Arabidopsis thaliana: one gene and its partner. The protein of the gene in region 1 interacts with the protein of each later gene in a pairwise test. Each region holds a gene or a part of one and is shown in the gene's direction. Other genes may lie near its edges.

What was found.
Region 2: the proteins of LEJ2 (region 1) and ROP10 interact in a two-hybrid assay, tested with the Arabidopsis thaliana proteins (one large-scale study listed by BioGRID).

What each region holds. Positions count from the first base shown.
Region 1 is NC_003075.7:17,389,887-17,395,222, reverse strand, and holds LEJ2 (Cystathionine beta-synthase (CBS) family protein), read left to right. Parts: upstream 1-1,743; 5' UTR 1,744-2,004; coding exon 2,005-2,211; intron 2,212-2,598; coding exon 2,599-2,686; intron 2,687-2,784; coding exon 2,785-2,849; intron 2,850-2,953; coding exon 2,954-3,002; intron 3,003-3,264; coding exon 3,265-3,317; intron 3,318-3,759; coding exon 3,760-3,875; intron 3,876-3,972; coding exon 3,973-4,030; intron 4,031-4,132; coding exon 4,133-4,207; 3' UTR 4,208-4,597; downstream 4,598-5,336.
Region 2 is NC_003074.8:17,729,493-17,734,213, forward strand, and holds ROP10 (RHO-related protein from plants 10), read left to right. Parts: upstream 1-1,844; 5' UTR 1,845-2,068; coding exon 2,069-2,173; intron 2,174-2,498; coding exon 2,499-2,586; intron 2,587-2,784; coding exon 2,785-2,894; intron 2,895-2,987; coding exon 2,988-3,051; intron 3,052-3,146; coding exon 3,147-3,211; intron 3,212-3,312; coding exon 3,313-3,378; coding exon of another isoform or gene 3,379-3,420; exon of another isoform or gene 3,421-3,479; coding exon 3,480-3,583; intron 3,584-3,724; coding exon 3,725-3,749; 3' UTR 3,750-4,021; downstream 4,022-4,721. UniProt on the Arabidopsis thaliana protein: Acts as a negative regulator of abscisic acid (ABA) responses.

The sequences.
Region 1 (5,336 bases):
GAATCTATTATCACCAAAGTAAAAGATGGAATGAAGTTTAGTCGGAATGATAGACACTGAGACACCCAACGATGGTATTATAATAGATTAAGACCTTGAATGTTTTGTACATTTTGTAAGAGTTTTTGGGTTTTGTTTTTCAAAAACTTATTTTCATACCAATCAAGATTTTAAAATTTTGGTTTCTCTATAGTTTAGAAAAACTATTTTGTTGTAATTTTTCATTCCTCATTTTAGTTTTTTTTGTTCTCTTAAAATTTTGAAAATCTAGTTTATACTCAATCAACGTTATTTTTTTCAAAACCAAAAATCATTTTTTTGAAATTTTTTAAACAAAAATATAATTACAAAAATCTAAAACTAAAATCTAAAATCTAAATCCAAAAACTGAATCGAAAATCAACCTCCATTCAGGGCCTAAATTGTCCTCTTACAATACATTTTTCTTTCCATATGTGATATCATAACGGATAGGTAAAAATGAATAAAATAAAAACTTTGGTAAATGGTAACAAAATATCATCAAAATTTTACCATTTACCATACCCCAAAAAGCAACATAGCAATTAAAAAACAACAAACTATCATCAAAGGCATTATAAGAGAACCCTTTGAGTACAATGAAAGGTTCTTGAATATTGAATGCACGAATCAAAAGGACAAAATGCTAAGTCTATGTAATTTTTATGTATTTACATTTAAGTTTGAAAACATATCGTTAATAAAAGTATTTTGTATGATAAAAAACTTTTAGATAAAAAATATAATAGCGATTTACTTAAAACTTTGAAAAAGTTTAAAATTAAATTTAAATACGTGAAAATATGATGAACTTATGACACCACAATACTTACGGACCAAAAGGACGGGATGCTAAGTCTAACCATTTTCACGTATTTAAATTTAACATTTAAATTTGAAAATATTTTTTATTTTACAATATTAATTACCAAACAGCTTTTATTTATTTTGAAACTGAAAATTTAAAACAAAATTATTATTTTTAGTAAAATCAATTGTTATCTATAACGTTAATTAATAAAGAAACCAAAAAAAATATTTTTAAAAAAAAGAAATTAAGAAAGGAACATACCTCGTGAAATAGGGAGACGTTTGTCATCAGGGATTGTTGTTTGCTAAAAAGCCCATACGCTGTTTTGCGAAGCCCATATCATATTGGGCCAAGATTGCAAATTGTAGATGAGAGATCTGAGTCATCTTCATCTTCTCTCCTAGGGCGAGTCCTTAACGGTCTGATTCTGAGTCATTGAAACTCCAAACCTACTCGTCGGTTGTTGATGAGAGTTTCTTTGCGCTTTTCAGAAAGAAAAGACAGGTCCGCATAAGATGCATCCATGGTTGGCTAGAAATCAACATCGATTGATCAAACACGAGAGACCACTCCAAGTGGCGTTGGTATGGATATGATCTCTAACCAGTAACCTTGTCGGATTAATCCTCCATGATTGATCAGAGATTGTGAAATATTAGAGAGACCTCTCTCGACATGGCGTTGGTAAAGATCGGCGACGTATATGGATCATCAATTTCACGGTTTCGAAATCGACGATCGTCTTTGTAAAACAGTAGCAGAGAAAAGAAGAATTTTGTTTTTTTGTCTCTTAAAGAAAAATTATGATTTCCCAACACAAGACAGATGAATATTTATAAGGAAAGGCTCACGCAAAGAAAAAAAGGAAACATCAGGTTGTTTTCCTTTTTTCATATTTGGACCTTAACAAAAAAGGAAATTGAATCGCACAATTAAGGAGCGTTTACAACGGTCTTATTTTTCTAATCTCAATTTGCAGATTTCGTTAAAAGGCCACGTGTTCGATTTTTTTTTAACGCATAAATTGTATTGTAATTCCAAAACTACATCGTTTTGAGGTTTAGCCATTAAAGTCACAGTCACACTTTCGCTTTTCCCAATACGAACAAGCGGTGACGCATATCTCCTGTATCATCACTCTTTTACTTCCGGCGATCTCTCTCCGACGGCCAATGGACGCCGTCCTTTACTCTGTTCCACTCTCCTTCACTCCCCTACGCGCATCATCCTCTCCTTCCTCGCCGTATCTTCTTCTGCCGAGGTTTCTCTCCGTTCAGCCATGTCACAAATTCACCTTCTCTCGAAGCTTCCCTTCCAAATCCCGGATTCCCTCAGCTTCTTCCGCCGCCGGTTCCACGTTGATGACGAATTCCTCTTCGGTAAGCTCCTTCACTCAATTTCCAGTTCCAAATTCCTCTTTCCGTTTTGGGAATTTTGTTATGCATGCGAATATCTGATCATTGGGTGTCTTAGATTCTGAGAATTTTCGTAGATTAGCTTCTTGTAACGATTCTATGTAACGATTGAATGGTATACTAGTTACTAGCTTAGACCGGATTCTTCGAGATTGCACATTTTAGATACGGGATTCGATCTTAGCCTAGTGGAAATTTGAGGAAGCAAAGTCGCTTACTCGCTTAAGTAATGAGATAGTGACCAATTTTGAATCGAGATTTTGAGAATTTAGGCAGCCACTGGTTGGAAGGTTAATCAATATTGTACAAGTAGAGGATTAGTTTGAGTTTTGTATATGACTATTACTGTAGCCAAGAAGTGGAGTGTACACTGTTGGTGAGTTCATGACAAAGAAAGAGGACTTGCACGTGGTGAAACCTACGACTACTGTGGATGAAGGTAGCTCTTTGTTATCCTTTAAAGTTCATCAGATTCTTTGGAGCATAAGATACTGCCTTGTTTTCATACTTATGGCCTCTTTTGTGCCTTCTCTACAGCTCTGGAACTCCTTGTGGAGAATAGAATCACTGGATTTCCTGTAATTGACGAAGACTGGAAATTGGTTAGTATCAACTTTTGTTATTCAGGTCTTAAGTTTTGAAAGGGAGCTGAATCTAATCTACAGATGGAGGTTGGATGCTTATGAGGGATTCTTTGTTGCTGCAGGTTGGGCTTGTTTCAGATTATGACTTGTTGGCTTTGGACTCCATATCTGGTAAGTGGGCCAGCTACACCACTTAATTAATGTATTTGGTTTCCTTTGCTTTCAAGAGATTTTATAAACATGGGGATTTCTCTTTGAAGTGGAGAAAGAAGAAAGCTACTTGATCACATGGTGGCATAAAGCCAGAAATATCTATGTTATGATGACCTTCTGTCTCATTCTTTGCGAGATAGCACGCTCACCGTGAAATGATCAAAAAGCTTTTTCCCTTACCCCTTGAATCTTATTGCTGGTTTTTTTGTGTTGCTAATAGGTAGTGGAAGAACAGAAAATTCCATGTTCCCTGAGGTTGACAGCACCTGGAAAGTATGTGGCCCTTCCTTTTCCTATTAACATTTTGACCTGAATGCTTTTCAAAACACTCAATTCAAATTCTTTCCCATTGTGCTCATTCGCCTGGTTCACATTATCAGCAGTAGATAGTGTGTATTGAAAGTTACAAGGAACTTGTTTTGATTTACGCAATTACCATGCACAATAATTCAGCTAATTGTTGTGAACCTGTTATAGGATCTTCTGATTGTTATGAGTGTATGCACTAAAGAAGTACCTCATATGAAATATGCATATGGTAGAGTTATGTTAATGTTACATTCAGTTCCCTAGTTTGAGTAGACATGATTCTGTAAAGTGGATTCAAATCTGATAGTGTAAACCATCTCAAAATGAATTGGTTCTATAGTTCTCTTTTTTGGTAACTTTTGTTGTTCTTGTATCATATCATGTTGACCAATAAAAACATTTGCAGACTTTCAATGCTGTGCAAAAGCTACTCAGCAAAACCAATGGGAAGCTTGTTGGAGATTTAATGACACCAGCTCCACTAGTTGTTGAGGAAAAAACCAACCTGGAAGATGCTGCTAAGTTACTGTCTTTCCTTTTTTTCAGTGCCGTCATTTCTTTTCTCATCTCTATCTAAATTCTTCTCTAACTTAAAGCTTATTATTCTATTTTCCACTAGAATATTGCTTGAGACAAAATATCGCCGGCTCCCTGTGGTAGATTCTGATGGCAAATTGGTAAGAGAAGAGAGATTTTACATTTACACATCTCGCATTGAACTTTTAAATACACCATGTTTCGCATCGCTTATCTATTTTTATATTTCCTTTTGAAAAAAGGTTGGTATCATCACAAGAGGAAACGTGGTTAGAGCCGCGCTTCAAATAAAGCGCTCTGGTGATAGGAATGCTTGATTAAGGTAGTATATATACCAAACAAGAAAATGGCTTTGTAGAGGAAAGCAATGATCAAACATTCTCCAGAGAATAAAAGTGAGAAACCGCGACAATTGTACCATGTATTAGAATAAGAGCCATAACTTATACGACATTTTGCAACGAAGTTAAACCTGGTAAACTCTAGAAGCATCAAAGGTAAGTGCACATCTAACTTTTTGCTATTTTAGCAGAATCAGCTTCTCTGTTTGTTTGATAAGTTAGGTTATCAGATGCTTTGGGTATTTGACTCTCATCCAATATGCTTTCATTTCGAGAAAAAAAAAAATTGTTTCACACTTTCTACATTTGGTTAACCACCAAAGTAACAAACCTTTTTAAGGTATTTTAATTGATTTTGGTTCAACCAAAAATATCTTTCCTTTACCTTCTTGGTTTCGTCCGTACAAACGTATATGTGAAATTGGAATCTTTTCTTAACGTGGAGGCTCTAGATTGGTAATCAAATTTCGTTAATTGTCATTTGTCAAGAACTTCCATGATCTACTCGATTAAAAGTAATATTAATAATATCAAGTTACAAGAGTGTTAGTTGCAAGGTCATGCTCATCATTAGCTGTCTAACGAAACCTTAAAACAATTGACCTTTAGTTGTGGTGATCTGATGGCGAAAAACACTGATAGATCTGAATTTCTAGTGATTTAATTAGGTCAAAAGAATTTAACTCTTGGTCAAATTTCACGTTTAAGCTCTCTAATGGAGAAAGAAACACATGTTTGAGACTGGTCTTTTCAAAACAAGACCATAGCACAAGAAATGATCAAGTTTTGTGATATGTGAGTTTTTGCTGTCTTTGCCCCACAAAACAGATTAGAAAACAGAGAAGAAAGAAAAGAGATGACTTTAGTAGTTAGGATAGAGAGCTTTAGTTGTTACGATCGGACAAGTTAAAGACCCACTTACCATATTTGTTTTGTAGGACACTCTTTGTCTCTCCAATATCTCTCTAACTCTCTATACACTCCCACTTCTCAATCCTTAGTCTCCTGTTTCTGCTGCTATTGACTCACCGCCGTGTTCCCCATCCAGATTTTATCTATAACATCATACTAATACTACCTCCTACCTATAACCAAACTGAAACAT
Region 2 (4,721 bases), on another chromosome or scaffold:
GAAAACCCAATTTAGCTTGGATACTTTTGTTTTGAAATAACAAAATTATACTTTACTAAGATTGATGAATAAGTTTGATAGCAGATGTTACAGAAAAAAAGAAGGAAAAGTTTGGTTGCTATTTTCCAAAACTTAAAAGTCCCCAATTCAGAGTTAATCCTAATTCCTATATATATATATATCTTTCTCTCTTCTATAACTACATATGTGTTTAACCAAGTTATGTTCATTTCTCCTAGCTAGAACCAGGTAAAATTTGTTTTATTGAAATAATCTATACAATTAATTGGTAATGAGTAATGCCAGAATCTTACAAAAAAAATGATGGCAAAATATAACAGTTTTTAATGCTAAACAAAATAAGAAGGATCAACCGATAAAGAAAAAGAAATAACGTACTATAATCAATGCTTCTTAAGCATGTGATTAGCTTTTAGTATCCTTTTAATCCTACTATATTATTTGGGAAATACATTTTAAATGTAACCTTAATTTTTGTAATTAATTACATGACAATACCATTAGAAAAATTTAATCAAAAACAAAATCTTTTAATGACATCATTAAGGTTACCAAAATCATTTAACGACAATATTCATTTCTTAATTATAGGGCTTGTTGAATCTAAAGACGGGTCATCAAAGATTTTCTAAACTAAAGCAAAATATACCGAATATTCAAATATCTTTCTGTTACCAAATTATAAACAAATAAGTTCGTAAAACAATTTAATATTTTATATACGAAATCAATAAATCTTAATCACATAAAAATTTGTACAAAAAAAAAGTATTCAACAATTAAAAATTTATCAAATCTCTGTGTTATATAAGTTTTGATATTATATTCGAATAAAGTGTAATATACCTTTTTAATTTGTATTCTTTAACTAATTTAAGCTAACTAATATATTTGCTAATCTTATACCTATTAAAACCGACTATCGTTTCTTATCTCTATAGTATTTTTGCAAGATTTTTTTGGTGGATTTGGATAAAAGTGCATTCGGGTCATATGGTACATTCCCCTATTAAATAAATATGGTGCACTCCTATGTTATTAGCTAAAATGTTTAGAATTCAGAGTCATATCATAAATAAAATTAATATGAATAAAATAAATGGCTTTTTGGCAAGACGGATTTAGAAGGACGGGTTTTTGAATCAACATTAATAAAAAAGTAAAATATAATTAATCCACCGTTTCAATACGGGTAAAATCTTTAATTTATTATTTTTTAAGACCACTAATATTAAACATATCAAATTATCCTAATTTAGAAAATATTATATAAAACCAAAAATGTTATGTGATATGTATAATGTTACTATATATAAAATTAAACTATAAAATATAAATGTATTAGAGAATGATACAATTTGCAAAACTTTTATATATAATAAATAATTCTTAAATTTTAAAAATTACGACTTAAAAAAAAACTCACGGGACGGGTAAAGAAATTACAGAACGAGTTTTATTTTGGAATTCGGTTATATGGTGGATGTATTTGAATCAATATTTATAAAATTATAAAATATTATTAATATGCTGTTTTAATAAGGGTTAAAACTTCAGTTTTTTAACAATTGTCTTATAGATTCGTGGCATAGCGTTACTTAATAACAATTATAAACCGTAAAATATAAATATTTTATAAAAATAAAATTTGCAAGTTTTAATATATATTACCTTTAAAAAATTAATCGTCTCGCGGTATACCACGGGTTAAAATCTAATACATTTGTAAAAGCGATAAATATGAAACGATTTAGAAAAGTCATGTGGATTAGATGGATATATCATGTGAGCCCCTCTTCTTTCCCTCTCTTCAGTCTTCAAACCAAAAAACGAAAGAGACAAAAATACAAAATTGAAACTTTGAAAATATTGAAAGAAAAGTGAAAAAAAAGAGAGTTTAGTTTTTTTAATCATATGGGGTTTATATAGTTTATTACCACACTTCCTCATGTTAATCACTTCATTTATCTCTCTATTATCTCTCTCACAATCTCTCTGGTTTTTGGGCGTTTCTTCGTTGAAAGTTGTTTGCTTTTGGTGAGTTAGAATGGCTTCGAGTGCTTCAAAATTCATCAAATGTGTGACTGTTGGAGATGGTGCCGTTGGAAAAACTTGTATGCTCATCTGCTACACTAGCAACAAATTCCCTACTGTAAGTTTAAAATTTGATCAAGTAAATCACAGTTTCGCTGATTTTTCATCAAATTGTTCTTTCGGGCATCTCCAATTTCGTCACTTTTAGTTGAATATACTTCTGGGTCTGTCAAATTTCAACTCTTTCACCGAGAATTTTAGCATGGTATTTCAAAGTTAGCTCCTTTTTTAGGGATTGTGCAAAAATAATCCTTTTTTGGAGATTCTGAAAAATCTTACATTGTAAAGTTAGTGGCTTTCTTGATTCACCAGTGTTTCCTCTTACTCTATTGCGCATTTGTTGTTCTCGTGAAGTTAAAGATTTGCTTGATGGATTGTATCAGGACTACATACCAACAGTTTTTGACAACTTTAGTGTTAATGTTGTGGTTGAAGGCATCACTGTGAACTTAGGCCTTTGGGACACTGCCGGTAAGTAACATTTCTGTATCCCTCTCTTGAATATCTCAGAATAACCAAGTTCACTAATGTTATGTGGTTCTAATCTTTCTAACATCTAGCAAGTTTGCTTTTGATTTGGGATTCTTAGATAGAGAACTTTATAGGGAGTGTTGAAGATTAGTGACTGTTAAGAGTTTTATGATTATGAGTACCCTTTCATGTTTGCAGGGCAAGAAGACTATAACAGACTAAGGCCTTTAAGTTACAGAGGAGCAGATGTTTTTGTGTTGGCTTTCTCATTGATCAGCCGAGCTAGCTATGAGAATGTGTTTAAAAAGGTTTGTGGAAATTGGATTCATTGTATTTCTTACTGGGAAAACAAAGAATGAAATGTGAATTTCTGATGTTTTTGAAGCGTTTATTTTGTTCAGTGGATCCCTGAACTCCAACACTTTGCACCAGGAGTCCCCATTGTGCTTGTTGGTACCAAAATGGGTAAGATAGCTATAAGAGTGGAGCCAACATATTTCCTTGTGTAATGCTTGAGAATCACATATATGTAATGTTTCTTACAATGTTCCGTTATCTAGATCTTCGTGAAGATAGACATTACTTGTCTGATCATCCTGGACTGTCCCCGGTAACTACATCACAGGTGTGCTTTTTCAACCTGTAGAAACCGAAAAGATTGTTGTGACATTCTCTAGACTCTCTCTTCTCTAGGTTTTATATGATTTAATCATTCATGTGTTACAGGGAGAGGAACTCCGCAAGCATATCGGAGCGACTTATTACATTGAATGTAGCTCAAAAACTCAACAGGTACACTTGTTCATGTGTGTTTGGAAACTTAGGAGTCATTAGTGTTAGGTGACTCTTTACTTGCAAACTATATGCTTTTCTTTGGTTCATGGCTTTTGCAGAATGTGAAAGCCGTATTTGATGCTGCTATTAAAGTAGTAATTAAACCAGCAGTGAAACAAAAGGAGAAGAAGAAGAAGCAGAAGCCTCGCAGCGGATGTCTCTCGTAAGTTCAATAATCTTCACTCTTTTTAATATATAACTAAGAAATTATGTAATACTAGAATTTGGTTATGCAACCTTTAGCTTCTTCATACAGTTTTGTTTGTTTGTGTAATGATTATAGATTGGCTTCTCTATTGTGCAGAAACATTCTGTGTGGGAAGAATTGATGAGTCAATTCCATCTGATGATTGTTCACTTCTTTTTTTTTCTTTTCTTTTCTAATTGGCCAGTTTGTGATTCTGATAAGTCGGAATTACATAGACTCTGGCAGAGATGAGCCTCAATTAGTAGCTTCTTCGATTCTGTTTGTATATGTGACCCTGATGTTTGTTTGTTTCGATTTGGTTTGACCCTTATAGAATTGTTATAGCCATTTTGTAGCCAAAACTTGGAGTAGTTCACGACTTAACGTGGTTAACACTTGCTTCTTTCGAAAAAAGGTGAATCCTTAATCACATATTCGAATTTATTTGGTCCTATTATGAGATCCAAGACCAAACGACAAAAGCGTGACAAGTAAGAAGAAGCCTGTAAATTTCAAACAGAACCAGCACAAGAAGTAATAAATCTACAAACTGGAAAAAGAAAGATAAAAAGAAGTAACTAATCTTGTGTCTATAATACAACCCCCATCACCTAACGCACACATGTAAAGCCACAATGCGAAAGACTTTTTTTTTTATCATTTTGAACACACTCAAAAGCCACCAACATTTGTTTTATCGCTAGTTTTTTGAGCCGGTGTATAGAGATACACACATGCATGAAAAATGACCTAAAAGTGTGTTTTCACCTTTTAAAACTCTTTGTGGGGAGGTGGTGATGCGGGTCTCTCGCTGAGAACCTTGTTGATGACTCTTCTGAAAGAGAATGGCCACTCCGGTGAATTTAGGACTGTTTTTGGAAGATCTACATGATGGTGAAACCAAGAGGTCAGGTTTGTGTTCTTAAAAAGGTTGAGACCACTGTGAAGTCGCAAATTGACTCACCCATGCCTCATTTGTACAGAGCAGGCCAGCCAATGAAGCCTTGTGGCATCACATTCACTCTCATCTCTTAGTAACTAGCAGAGTAAAAATGTAACTGAAACATTAGTAAGAGAGAGAAAAACAAAAAGAGAGGTCATAAAACACTAAGGT